Saccharomyces cerevisiae S288C: one gene and its partners. The gene in region 1 interacts genetically with each later gene. Each region holds a gene or a part of one and is shown in the gene's direction. Other genes may lie near its edges.

Region 1 (5,118 bases):
GCACAGGCGGATACTTTTTAGTTTGGGAAGAGTTAACTGGAGAGGGCAGTTTACTTTCACATACTCTTTTATCTTTCTGAAGTAAAATGTGATGTACCTACAAGCAATGCATAAGCTCTTGAGTTTTAGATCTGTTTCACCCTGGAACTCAAAATTCTTTTACTCGAAATTTTTACTTTTTTTTTTTTTGTTTCTGCATTCTCTCAGATTTTAGATGATGCGGTTTTTTACAGGGCATTGAAACAATTGCAGAAAAGCAACATACTAATATATCATAACTTTTTACTCTTGCCTCTCAGAAACTATATATACGTTGTAATCATTTTCTTTCTTCTAATAGCTAGTTCGTTTGAACTACAAGGAAATAAGGCAGAGAAAAAGAAAGGAAAATAATATGCCAAAGAGAATTGTATACAATATATCCAGTGACTTCCAGTTGAAGTCGTTACTGGGAGAGGGTGCATACGGTGTGGTATGTTCTGCAACGCATAAGCCCACGGGAGAAATCGTGGCAATAAAAAAGATCGAACCATTCGATAAGCCTTTGTTCGCATTACGTACGCTGCGTGAAATAAAGATCCTGAAGCACTTCAAGCACGAAAATATCATAACAATCTTCAACATTCAACGCCCTGACTCGTTCGAAAACTTCAATGAGGTCTACATAATTCAAGAGCTAATGCAGACAGATTTACACCGTGTAATCTCCACCCAGATGCTGAGTGACGATCATATACAATATTTTATATACCAAACCTTGAGAGCAGTGAAAGTGCTGCATGGTTCGAACGTCATCCATCGTGATTTAAAGCCCTCCAACCTTCTCATAAACTCCAACTGTGACTTGAAAGTATGTGATTTCGGTTTAGCAAGAATCATTGACGAGTCAGCCGCGGACAATTCAGAGCCCACAGGTCAGCAAAGCGGCATGACCGAGTATGTGGCCACACGTTGGTACAGGGCGCCAGAGGTGATGTTAACCTCTGCCAAATACTCAAGGGCCATGGACGTGTGGTCCTGCGGATGTATTCTCGCTGAACTTTTCTTAAGACGGCCAATCTTCCCTGGCAGAGATTATCGCCATCAACTACTACTGATATTCGGTATCATCGGTACACCTCACTCAGATAATGATTTGCGGTGTATAGAGTCACCCAGGGCTAGAGAGTACATAAAGTCGCTTCCCATGTACCCTGCCGCGCCACTGGAGAAGATGTTCCCTCGAGTCAACCCGAAAGGCATAGATCTTTTACAGCGTATGCTTGTTTTTGACCCTGCGAAGAGGATTACTGCTAAGGAGGCACTGGAGCATCCGTATTTGCAAACATACCACGATCCAAACGACGAACCTGAAGGCGAACCCATCCCACCCAGCTTCTTCGAGTTTGATCACTACAAGGAGGCACTAACGACGAAAGACCTCAAGAAACTCATTTGGAACGAAATATTTAGTTAGCCATCATTATCATTAAAATATCAACCCGAAGAACAATGTATACATATACATATACGTACACATATACATATGTACATATGACATACGTATTAGCCGCTGAGGACGCGGACGTATAAAAGGACAATACTTATATGGAGCTAAGGGGAGCAGTTACGCAACTCCGTGATCGCGCGCCACGGGCCGTCGGCGGCTGTTAATTGAAGAAAAAAAAAATGAAGAACCACAAGGGGTGATCCATATAGGTGACTAGCATCATCCCCTGCGACGCGCGGCCCGCCGGGCCAAAGGCGGGCAATGCGCGCTGCTGATTGGCCTCGAGGACAACGCCCTCAACCACATCCGCAACAGCCAATCCCATCGGAGCGTCAAACTACCAAAGTAGTGATTGTATGGATGACCACTGTATTGTGGACGGTAAGCGCTTGCTGGAGCAAATGTGTAATCAAGTTGCTGTGTATATATAGACGTTAGATGTGTTCTACCCCTTCTTTTGTCTTGTGCCCACCGGGCTTACATTAGCACACAAAGCAGCAAGAGACCGTCTTACTAGACAATAGCGGCAAAACAAACAACACATTTCTTTTTTTCTTTTTCACATATTGCACTAAAATGACAATTTCTAATTTGTTAAAGCAGAGAGTTAGGTATGCTCCCTATCTGAAAAAAGTTAAGGAAGCTCACGAGCTTATTCCATTGTTCAAGAATGGTCAGTACCTTGGGTGGTCCGGTTTTACAGGAGTGGGTACTCCCAAGGCAGTGCCGGAGGCACTGATAGATCACGTGGAGAAGAACAATTTACAAGGGAAGTTGAGATTCAACCTTTTTGTTGGAGCTTCTGCTGGTCCAGAGGAAAACCGTTGGGCTGAACACGACATGATCATTAAGAGAGCCCCTCATCAAGTAGGGAAACCCATTGCAAAGGCAATTAACCAGGGTAGAATTGAGTTCTTTGATAAACATCTGTCCATGTTCCCTCAGGATCTGACATACGGGTTCTACACCAGGGAAAGAAAAGACAACAAAATCCTTGATTATACTATAATCGAGGCAACGGCCATTAAAGAGGACGGGTCTATCGTCCCAGGTCCCTCTGTCGGTGGTTCTCCAGAATTCATTACAGTCAGTGATAAAGTGATTATTGAGGTTAACACGGCTACGCCTTCGTTCGAGGGTATTCACGATATAGACATGCCCGTGAACCCACCTTTCAGGAAACCATACCCATATCTGAAAGTGGACGACAAGTGTGGTGTTGACTCCATCCCGGTTGATCCTGAAAAGGTTGTTGCGATTGTGGAGTCCACCATGAGGGACCAGGTCCCACCAAATACGCCCTCTGACGACATGTCCAGGGCTATTGCAGGTCATTTGGTCGAGTTTTTCAGAAACGAGGTAAAACATGGTAGGCTACCTGAAAACCTGCTGCCTTTACAAAGTGGTATAGGTAACATTGCTAACGCTGTCATTGAAGGGCTTGCTGGCGCCCAATTCAAGCACTTGACTGTATGGACGGAAGTGCTGCAGGACTCGTTCTTGGATCTTTTCGAGAACGGATCTTTGGACTACGCCACTGCTACTTCCGTGAGATTGACTGAAAAGGGTTTCGACAGAGCCTTTGCAAACTGGGAAAATTTCAAACACAGATTGTGTTTGAGATCTCAAGTTGTCTCGAACAATCCGGAAATGATCCGTAGATTGGGTGTCATCGCCATGAATACCCCAGTAGAAGTTGACATTTACGCGCACGCCAATTCTACAAATGTGAATGGTTCCCGTATGTTGAACGGGTTGGGTGGATCTGCTGATTTCTTGAGAAATGCAAAGTTGTCCATCATGCATGCCCCCTCTGCAAGACCAACTAAAGTAGACCCTACCGGTATCTCTACCATTGTTCCTATGGCCTCTCATGTAGATCAAACTGAGCATGACCTGGACATCTTGGTCACTGACCAAGGTTTGGCGGATCTAAGAGGTCTATCGCCTAAGGAAAGAGCCCGTGAAATCATCAACAAGTGTGCTCATCCCGATTATCAAGCTTTGTTGACCGATTACTTGGACAGAGCAGAGCATTACGCTAAAAAGCACAATTGCTTGCATGAACCACACATGCTAAAGAATGCTTTCAAGTTCCACACCAACTTAGCTGAAAAGGGTACAATGAAGGTCGACAGCTGGGAACCAGTTGACTAGTGTTTGTGCGCAAACCGAGAGATGAGTATTTAACAAAAAAAAGAAAGGAAATGATATGATTATGATTTTATGTTTATAAAGCTTTTATCCAATGCGTTGTTTTTTCTTGCATATTTATACTTTTTGCGCTCATGGAGGGAGTTAATCAATACGCATGACGTCTAGTTAATTCACAGGTAGTACTGTATATTTATATGTTTACACAATAATTATGTATTAAGTAGTGATTAGTAAAAAAAACTAAGAGGTTGAAAGTCATCAACCCTTATATTAATTTCAACGAATTTCGCTGATGACGTCAGGGTAGTTCTCTTGCTTAGGTCAATGTAAAAATGCCAGGGTAATACAAAACCAAGCTCTGAACCGCCCAACTTATCTGTAATGATGCATGTATACCTTACAATGATTTTTTTTCTCCTATTATGGAATTAATATTGGAATCCATGTTTGTGAACAGCCTTCTCCGCAATTTAGCTTCAAGCTAATAAGTGGTTATTGTTTGCGCGCGCTTGAAGGCAAGGATCATCGCTTTTTTCTTCTCACCATTGAATTTAAGGGACGCCGATTAGCATAATACACTTATCAACAACAACCGGATGTGTGTTATCTATCAGTGGTGGAAGGATTGGTAAGCAATTTGGTTTGATCCAGAGGACTAAGAAAAAAAAAACGGCTCATCAAAGAAATTAGTTCAATTGAGTGGTTTAATAGACAAAGTTTGGAAAGATAACAGAAGTAGAAAAAGTAAAAATCTACACATGACACTCAACACATGTGGACAGCAAGAGGGCAGATAGATAAGTCGACACTGCAAATTGTTGTGTATGTAATAGCCCTGGGTGCAGGTTGGCCAAAACTGTTCAACAGCTCGCCCATTTGAAGGTTCAACAGGCCGCCAGAAATGTTCAACAGATTGTGCCGCTATGATACGTAACTTATATATAGCAGCGTGTATAATATTAGGACCATAATAAAATGAATGGCATGAAAATAACGACAACAATCTCAACAGCAAACAAATTCACAATACAGTCATGGGCAGCATAAACTTCATATTTGCTTTACATCTTTTAGTTGTTTTATTTTTCATCATCGCCATCCCTAGCTACGCCATGTATCCATTTTTACCATTTATCCTTACATCGCTCGTATTTGCTCGTTCTGATAACTCTAATAATCGTTATTGACAAGTTGGTTCAAGGTCAAAAATTTTGTTATTACAATCACTGAGCAATACGCTGTTTTTCCATAGTATGGAGGCATTTTTTTTTCTGTGAATGTACGTATATTTTACTGTATACTTCATTAATATTTGGGAAATAGACATATTTTAAGATTATTTTTTAGATCCTGTTTACGTAAAAGACAATAATATAGGTGTGTAAATTATACCCTAAGTTCTTCTCAAGGATGTAAGACTTCCACAAGAGAACCGGCAATTTTATATGATAATACTATTTTTTCTTTGGCTT
Region 2 (4,646 bases), 470 kb from region 1:
CCAGGAAGGTCACGTGCCGTACTTTTACACGTGACCGTAGAGGCTGCGCGGGTAATCCCACCCATGTGGCCGTGCCATTCACGCTGCCAGTCATACCATACGACTTAGCTGAGGACGAGTGCTTTTGCCTTGCTCGTCATGAGAACGACTAACAAGTAAGAGCGCGATGTTGCTGTCCACTTAGGCATCACTATATGGGGCCAGGAATGGCAAATTTACTTGATAAACTTCAGGCGATTGGATTTTGGTGCTCAGAATATTTTTTTCTCGGGCCGAAAGCGTCTTTAACTATTCCGAGCTAAAGCTTCCGAGTCCTTTATTCGGTCTTTTTTTATTTTTCAAGATTAACTGTATATAAATAGAGATGGTATGATTAAAAGCTCTTTTTAATAGATGCTCCTTCTTGAAATTTACTCCCACTGTGCTGCAAGAGGTTAGACGCTTCACGCACATTTTTGCTACAATGACAAGTGCCGCTACTGTTACTGCTTCGTTCAACGATACTTTTAGCGTATCCGATAATGTCGCCGTTATTGTTCCTGAAACGGACACTCAGGTGACCTACAGGGATCTATCCCACATGGTGGGTCACTTCCAGACCATGTTCACAAATCCTAATTCTCCATTGTACGGAGCTGTTTTCAGACAAGATACAGTGGCGATATCCATGCGTAATGGGCTGGAATTTATCGTCGCTTTCCTCGGTGCTACTATGGACGCTAAAATTGGCGCGCCCTTGAATCCCAATTATAAGGAAAAGGAGTTCAATTTTTATTTGAATGACCTGAAATCTAAGGCGATTTGCGTCCCAAAGGGTACCACAAAGTTACAGAGTTCTGAAATTCTAAAATCTGCCTCCACGTTTGGATGTTTTATCGTAGAGCTGGCCTTCGATGCGACCAGGTTTAGGGTAGAGTATGATATATACTCTCCAGAGGACAACTACAAAAGGGTTATTTACCGGTCTTTGAACAACGCCAAATTTGTCAACACAAATCCCGTTAAATTCCCTGGGTTTGCCCGTTCCAGTGACGTTGCCCTGATTTTGCATACCAGTGGTACCACCTCCACTCCAAAAACGGTGCCTTTGTTACATTTGAACATTGTGAGAAGCACGTTGAACATTGCTAACACTTACAAGCTAACGCCCTTGGACAGATCTTATGTCGTGATGCCTCTTTTCCACGTCCATGGGTTAATTGGTGTTTTACTTTCCACTTTTAGAACTCAGGGTTCTGTTGTGGTTCCCGATGGATTCCATCCAAAGTTATTCTGGGACCAATTTGTTAAGTACAACTGTAATTGGTTCAGTTGCGTTCCCACAATAAGCATGATTATGCTGAACATGCCCAAACCAAACCCTTTCCCACACATTAGATTCATCAGATCGTGTTCTTCTGCTTTGGCTCCAGCAACGTTCCATAAGCTGGAGAAGGAATTCAATGCACCTGTCTTGGAGGCCTATGCGATGACCGAAGCATCACATCAAATGACCTCAAACAATCTGCCTCCAGGAAAGAGAAAGCCTGGTACTGTGGGCCAGCCACAAGGAGTCACCGTCGTCATTCTAGATGACAATGACAATGTCTTGCCCCCGGGCAAAGTCGGCGAAGTTTCCATCAGAGGCGAAAACGTCACTTTGGGGTATGCTAATAATCCAAAAGCTAACAAGGAGAACTTCACCAAGAGAGAGAACTATTTCAGAACCGGTGACCAAGGTTATTTCGACCCTGAGGGGTTTTTGGTCCTTACAGGCAGAATCAAAGAGCTTATCAACAGGGGTGGTGAAAAGATTTCACCCATTGAGCTCGACGGCATTATGCTATCGCATCCAAAGATCGATGAAGCCGTTGCATTTGGTGTTCCCGACGATATGTACGGCCAAGTAGTTCAAGCCGCCATTGTTTTGAAGAAGGGAGAAAAAATGACCTACGAAGAACTGGTGAACTTCTTAAAGAAGCACCTAGCCTCTTTCAAAATTCCAACCAAGGTGTACTTTGTTGATAAGCTACCAAAAACCGCTACAGGTAAAATCCAGAGAAGAGTTATCGCAGAAACTTTTGCTAAGAGCAGCAGAAATAAGAGTAAGTTGTAGGCAGTATCCTGTACAATTTTATGCTCTCTGAAAGCTTCTATCTGGCACCCGTTTATATACGCCAATACTTATGTATTTTATCTATCTAATGAAACCACAGTATTTATCATGCCTAAGCTGATTCTTTTTCGTCGCGGCTGTTTCCGGGGTCTGTTTTCCGAGACTTCGAAGTGGGAGAACATGCAAAAGAGACGAGTCTTCAACTAAGAAGTTCTCCGTCATTAAAAGTCATGCGTTTGCACGTTTGCAATAAAAAGAGGTGTATCTACATATACAGGTTAACGATTGCAACAGCGACTCTTGATATTATCTCTGTCAAGTTTCTTCCTTTTGTTAGACTAATTTAGTATCATTTACACACTCGGACGTTAAATTCCGCCTCCCTCATAACAGTTCCTGTGTTTGTTCATTGATAATCGATCGCAGTTTAGTAAGTTCTTTTACTTTTGCAATAATTTTGTTCAACATGTTTTCCAGACTGCCAACATCATTGGCCAGAAATGTTGCACGTCGTGCCCCAACTTCTTTTGTAAGACCCTCTGCAGCAGCAGCAGCATTGAGATTCTCATCAACAAAGACGATGACCGTCAGAGAGGCCTTGAATAGTGCCATGGCGGAAGAATTGGACCGTGATGATGATGTCTTCCTTATTGGTGAAGAAGTTGCACAATATAACGGGGCTTATAAGGTGTCAAAGGGTTTATTGGACAGGTTCGGTGAACGTCGTGTGGTTGACACACCTATTACCGAATACGGGTTCACAGGTTTGGCCGTTGGTGCCGCTTTGAAGGGTTTGAAGCCAATTGTAGAGTTTATGTCGTTCAATTTCTCTATGCAAGCTATCGATCATGTTGTCAATTCCGCTGCAAAGACTCACTACATGTCTGGTGGTACTCAAAAATGTCAAATGGTCTTCAGAGGTCCTAATGGTGCTGCAGTGGGTGTTGGTGCTCAACATTCACAGGACTTTTCTCCTTGGTACGGTTCCATTCCAGGGTTAAAGGTCCTTGTCCCTTATTCTGCTGAAGATGCTAGGGGTTTGTTAAAGGCCGCCATCAGAGATCCAAACCCTGTTGTATTTTTAGAGAACGAATTGTTGTACGGTGAATCTTTTGAAATCTCAGAAGAAGCTTTATCCCCTGAGTTCACCTTGCCATACAAGGCTAAGATCGAAAGAGAAGGTACCGATATTTCCATTGTTACGTACACAAGAAACGTTCAGTTTTCTTTGGAAGCCGCTGAAATTCTACAAAAGAAATATGGTGTCTCTGCAGAAGTTATCAACTTGCGTTCTATTAGACCTTTAGATACTGAAGCTATCATCAAAACTGTCAAGAAGACAAACCACTTGATTACTGTTGAATCCACTTTCCCATCATTTGGTGTTGGTGCTGAAATTGTCGCCCAAGTTATGGAGTCTGAAGCCTTTGATTACTTGGATGCTCCAATCCAAAGAGTTACTGGTGCCGATGTTCCAACACCTTACGCTAAAGAATTAGAAGATTTCGCTTTCCCTGATACTCCAACCATCGTTAAAGCTGTCAAAGAAGTCTTGTCAATTGAATAAATAAACTTCAATCCAATAGGAAGGAGAGAAAGAAGGAGATAGGGAACTTTTTTCCCTGTACCCTACACTTTCTACCCTCTTCGCGGAAATAGTACTAATGAGAAAAACATAAATAATATTTTGCTAATCAAGACATGTATGGCGTACTGGTTATTAGTAGATATATAACTGCAAATACACACATACATACAATGTATATATTTTGTTTTTACAAAATTGAATGAGATAAGTACTGTGCACATTGAATGAGTTCCTGTTTCATGGTTAGAATACGCACATATTTATTTTCTTTTTTTTCTTTTCGACGACAGGCTGAATGAAAGAAAGAAAATAAAGATACTCTGGCATGCGAAAATAAGTGAAAAATAAATCGGCTATAATGCGTAAGCTACTGTGGGAAGCAGAAGCAAGACCTAAACGTTTGGTGAGGCAGTATAATATACCATAGTTATAGGGGGATAAAACAAAAGTAGGCATGGAACCTAAGCGAAAGAGCGGGTCACTAGCCAAGCATGATTTGCCGCAATTTTATCTTTTAATTATGTTATATTTGGCTCAAGGCATACCTGTAGGATTGGCCTTCGGTACCGTACCGTTTCTACTGAAATCTTTAGCAAAGGAGACCTCGTTTACATCACTGGGAATTTTCTCTATGGCTACATATCCATATTCTTTAAAGATCATATGGTCACCAATAGTAGACTCACTGTACAACAAGCGCATCGGTAGAAGAAGATCATGGATCATTCCAGTACAATTTGTTAGTGGATTTGTGCTATGGGCATTAGGGTGGTGCATATCACAAGGCATAATCTTCGATGGTGTCGACGATGCGTTCCATAATCGCGGTAATGGCACTTTACACAGTGTCAGTATAAAAAATTTGACGTGGTGGTTTGGCCTGTTAGTTTTTCTGTGTGCCACTCAAGACATCGCAGTTGATGGTTGGGCGTTGACGATTTTGTCCAAAGAATCCCTATCATA
Region 3 (4,892 bases), on another chromosome or scaffold:
AAGGGACATTTTTATGTTAAATGGGCTTGCTGGAGGTGATTCTGCAGCTGCCACTAATGGGCTCGATGTAGGAAATGGATCTTCTACAATGGCAGGTACTAACGGTACCACCATGAGCACTTCAACTTCGCAACTTATTGAATTGGTTGGCTTCGTATCTCAAGTCTGCTCATGTTTTCCTCGTGAAACTGCAAACTTCCCGTCTGAATTAAAGCAGCTTTTGCTGGAACACCATAAGTCCTTGCCATTTGAATTGAAAGAAAAAATCTTAAGTTGTTTGACGATGTTAAGGAATAAGGACGTCATTACTGCTGAGGAATTAATTCAAAGCTTATTTCCTTTATTGGTTGCTTACTCTTCCCATGGTAATTCACTCGGCGTTAATTCACACGCCAAGGAATTGAGGAAAATCATTTATACAAATTTAATTTCTTTATTAAAAAGTTGTAATACTAATGGTAAAAATCAAAAATTGAACAAATCTACGCAGGCCGTTTGCTTTAATTTGTTAGATCAACCAGATTCCCAGGGAATCTGGGCCACAAAATTAACCAGAGAACTTTGGAGACGTGGTATTTGGGATGATTCAAGAACAGTAGAAATTATGACCCAAGCAGCATTACATCAGGATGTTAAGATTGTCATGTCTGGTGTGATGTTTTTTTTGGATGCTGACAGAGAACGTGAAGAAAATTTTGAAGAAAATTCCGAGGATGAGGATGGGTTTGATTTAGATGCATTAAGGCATAAGATGCAAGTCAATAAAAAAACGGGTAGACGTGGTAAGAAGCTGGAGAATGCCATAAAAACTGTGAAGAAGAAGAAGAAGAACGGACCGGGTGCTCCTCAAGGGTATTTAAACTTCAGTGCTATCCACCTTTTGAGAGATCCACAAGGATTTGCCGAAAAATTGTTTAAGGAACATCTTTCAGGCAAAACGAAAAACAAATTTGACATGGAACAAAAAATATCTTTGATGCAGCTGTTATCAAGGTTGATTGGTACCCATAAGTTAATTGTTTTAGGAATTTATACTTTTTTTTTAAAGTACTTAACTCCGAAACAAAGAGATGTTACAAGAATTATGTCCGCATGTGCCCAAGCATGTCATGATCTTGTCCCTCCTGAAGTTATAAATGTCATGGTGAGAAAGATTGCAGACGAGTTTGTATCAGACGGTGTTGCCAATGAAGTCGCTGCTGCAGGCATTAATACCATTAGAGAAATATGCTCTCGTGCACCTTTGGCTATCGATGAGATTCTACTACAGGATCTGGTAGAATATAAGGGGTCTAAAGCTAAAGGTGTCAATATGGCTGCCAAGTCATTGATAGCGTTGTATAGAGACGTGGCACCAGAAATGCTAAAGAAGAAGGATCGTGGTAAGAATGCCGCCATGGAAGTACAAGAAGCCAAGAAAGGAGGTAAAGATTCAAAAAGACCGCAATTTGGTGCCGACAACAGTGTTCAAGGGATTGCTGGTATCGAACTGTTAGCCAAATGGAAGAAAGAACATGGTGAAGAGAGTGAAAATGAAGACGCTGATGCCAACTGGGAAGTAGATGTCGATAGCGAAGAAGACGATGTCGACGGTGAGTGGGTCACCATGGATAGTGATAAAGAATATGACGTTGATATGGAAGATAGTGACGATGAAAAAGACAATGCTAAGGGCAAGGAATCAGATTCCGATTTGGAACTAAGCGATGATGACGATGAAAAAGAAGTGAAGGATGAGCAAGAAGATGCAGATATAGATCCCGAAGCTGCCTTCCGTGAAATTGCTTCTACACGTATTTTAACTCCGGCAGATTTCGCTAAACTACAAGAATTGCGTAATGAGGAAAGCGTTGCTAAAATAATGGGTATCCACAAACAAGACAAGCGTGAAGAGTTAGTTGATGCAAGTACACTAACAGGCCCTATCAAATACAAACAGTCTCGTGAGGAAAGATTACAAAAGGTGTTGGAAGGTCGTGAAGGTAGAGACAAATTTGGTAGTAGACGCGGTAAGCGTGACAACATGCGTTCTACTACCAACAGAGAAAAAGAAAGAAGGAAGAACTTTGTTATGTCTATTCACAAGAGATCTGTTAGAGGTAAACAAAAAATGTCACTACGAGACAAGCAAAAAGTGTTACGTGCACACATCACCAAACAAAAGAAGAAGGGGTATTAGACGACATCGTAGCCATATTAATATATACATACATATACACAGATACATTCATCTCTCCAACTGTATGAGGACTTCTCTACCTTGAATGGAACACCAAAGCCAGGTAGATACTAAAAAAAACTCTTTTTATGTCTTGGTACAGAGAAAAATGCTCCAACTGGTATCGATTATGTGTTCATCGGGAATTCTCGGCTTTTCCCCGCAGCGGCGGAGTGAGTATTCTAAAAGTTGGTTGGCCTTTCAATTGCCGCGTAGTCAACATCTTTGAGGTTTTATATAAGATCGACGTTTTCCTTATCAGCACTTTGACGTTTTCTCTCGAAAAATAACAGTGACTATAGAGCGATAGTCCAGTTTTTTTGTAACTGACTTTTAGGTAGTTAGGATTAATAAGGATTGAGTCAATACAATCGAAAAAAATACTGAAGCATTGCAACTGAACAAAATGTACTCAAGAAAATCCTTATCCCTAATTTCAAAGTGTGGGCAATTAAGCAGGCTAAACGCGCAAGCTGCTTTACAAGCAAGGAGACACTTGTCAATTCATGAATACAGGTCAGCTCAGTTATTGAGGGAATACGGTATTGGTACTCCAGAAGGATTTCCAGCGTTCACTCCCGAAGAGGCTTTCGAAGCAGCCAAGAAATTAAACACTAACAAACTGGTCATCAAGGCGCAGGCATTGACCGGAGGTAGAGGTAAAGGTCACTTCGACACCGGTTACAAAAGCGGTGTTCACATGATCGAAAGTCCTCAGCAGGCAGAGGATGTTGCAAAAGAAATGCTCAATCATAACCTGATTACTAAACAGACGGGAATAGCGGGGAAGCCAGTATCTGCTGTATATATAGTGAAAAGAGTAGATACAAAGCATGAAGCTTATTTATCTATTCTAATGGACAGACAAACCAAGAAACCGATGATCATTGCGTCCAGTCAAGGTGGTATGAATATTGAAGAGGTGGCTGAGAGAACCCCAGATGCTATAAAGAAATTTTCAATTGAAACTTCAAAGGGATTGAGCCCACAAATGGCCAAGGATGTTGCCAAGAGTCTCGGTTTCAGTCCCGATGCACAAGACGAGGCAGCAAAAGCTGTTTCCAATTTGTATAAAATATTCATGGAAAGGGATGCTACACAAGTGGAGATTAACCCTTTGAGTGAAATTGAACATGATCCAACCCACAAAATCATGTGTACAGACGCCAAATTTGGGTTTGATGATAACGCATCATTCAGACAGGAAAAGATATATTCCTGGAGGGACTTATCACAAGAAGATCCTGATGAAGTTAAGGCAAAGAAGTATGATTTGAATTTTGTTAAGTTGAAGGGTAACATTGGATGTTTAGTCAATGGTGCTGGTTTGGCTATGGCTACTATGGATGTCATCAAATTAAATGGAGGCGATCCTGCGAACTTTTTGGATTGTGGTGGTGGTGCCACCCCTGAGACCATCAAACAAGGTTTCGAATTGATCTTATCCAATAAGAACGTAGATGCAATTTTCGTCAATATTTTCGGCGGTATCGTAAGATGTGACTATGTTGCCCTGGGGCTGGTAGAAGCCGCCAGAGAACTAGAAGTTAGGGTCCCCATTGTGGCACGTTTGCAAGGTACCAAAGTAGAAGAAGGCCGCGACATTATCAATAAGTCAGGCGTGAAGATTTATTCGTTTGATGAATTAGATCCTGCTGCTAAAAAGGTCGTTGAATTGACCCAAAATTAAGCTTCTCGAGAAAAACAAAAGAGTTAATAATAAAGTATATATGCTTTTTTACTATTAATAAAGTTTCTTATTTTCCCTACATGTATACATACATATAAATATACTCTTTTGGAAAAAATTTCTTTTTTTTTTTTTTAATTTTTTTATATTTTTCCATCTTTTGATGTAATATAGAGGTTATATAATGAAAGAATATATAAGAGGTCATAAAAAATCATTAAAAAAATGCGAGTTCAGGAACATATTATCGTTTACGTAATCAGTGCGTTATTGGCGGATTAGTACCGATCACACCTTTGTTCATCGATGTGGATGCAGTTTGCTTTGCTGCGACGGCTGCAGGAGTCTCCCCTTTTATTATGTAGTGAATAACCTGTTTAAAAGAATCACCGTTCCGTATCCTAAAGTTAGCAATTCTTGTTAGATGGTAGCCTGCAGTGCAACCCAGGAAAAAATTGACGGAAGCTAACAGATAGTTCTTGGGCTTGATGACAAACGACCAACGCGTCCAAATCAGTGCCGTCGCTAATAAAGATAAATTTTGTGCTCCTGATACCTTCTCAACAGGCCTCTTAATATCATTTAGCCCTGCGAAGACCAGCCCCCACTTCAAAGTTGGGGCCCAGAAGTGTACTGTTTTAGGGCCTGTTTCACTATTCCAAAATCTTCTAAAGGCAAAATTAAAAGCTGATGCTGACATTAAAAATATAGGTTTGTGTTTCTATGTGTCTTGAATGCTTATGCGTATAGTCTTAAAGACTGATTGTATTCTTTTTTTTTATATGAAGTATTTCCGCCGTAATGAAAGGGAAAAGAAAATTTTCTCCAATACTCCAATTGCAACGCACCATATTATCCGGGAGAATACACGCACGCAGCCGCATATATATATATGATGGCCTTAGTTTTGTTTGAGCCTTTCGGTTTTGCGTGACCAAACCAGGGAGCGGCTCGCTTGACCCGCCCACGGAATGACGTAAAGCC

Evidence for each region. A genetic interaction does not mean that the proteins touch.
Region 2: mutations in ACH1 (region 1) and PDB1 together harm fitness more than expected from each alone (negative genetic interaction), as found in Saccharomyces cerevisiae (3 studies listed by BioGRID).
Region 3: mutations in ACH1 (region 1) and LSC2 together harm fitness more than expected from each alone (negative genetic interaction), as found in Saccharomyces cerevisiae (3 studies listed by BioGRID).

The regions. Positions count from the first base shown.
Region 1 is NC_001134.8:192,057-197,174, forward strand, and holds ACH1 (acetyl-CoA hydrolase), read left to right. Parts: upstream 1-2,065; coding exon 2,066-3,646; downstream 3,647-5,118. Other genes in the region: mitogen-activated serine/threonine-protein kinase FUS3, read left to right, coding at 395-1,456. UniProt on the Saccharomyces cerevisiae protein: Presumably involved in regulating the intracellular acetyl-CoA pool for fatty acid and cholesterol synthesis and fatty acid oxidation. It may be involved in overall regulation of acetylation during melatonin synthesis.
Region 2 is NC_001134.8:664,169-668,814, reverse strand, and holds PDB1 (pyruvate dehydrogenase (acetyl-transferring) subunit E1 beta), read left to right. Parts: upstream 1-2,561; coding exon 2,562-3,662; downstream 3,663-4,646. Other genes in the region: TDP1 (tyrosyl-DNA phosphodiesterase 1), read left to right, coding at 1-152; PCS60 (Pcs60p), read left to right, coding at 464-2,095; YBR221W-A (uncharacterized protein), read right to left, coding at 2,173-2,277; YBR220C (uncharacterized protein), read left to right, coding at 4,138-4,646. UniProt on the Saccharomyces cerevisiae protein: The pyruvate dehydrogenase complex catalyzes the overall conversion of pyruvate to acetyl-CoA and CO(2).
Region 3 is NC_001139.9:977,052-981,943, reverse strand, and holds LSC2 (succinate--CoA ligase (GDP-forming) subunit beta), read left to right. Parts: upstream 1-2,624; coding exon 2,625-3,908; downstream 3,909-4,892. Other genes in the region: SDA1 (Sda1p), read left to right, coding at 1-2,179; MPC3 (mitochondrial pyruvate carrier), read right to left, coding at 4,168-4,608. UniProt on the Saccharomyces cerevisiae protein: Succinyl-CoA synthetase functions in the citric acid cycle (TCA), coupling the hydrolysis of succinyl-CoA to the synthesis of ATP and thus represents the only step of substrate-level phosphorylation in the TCA.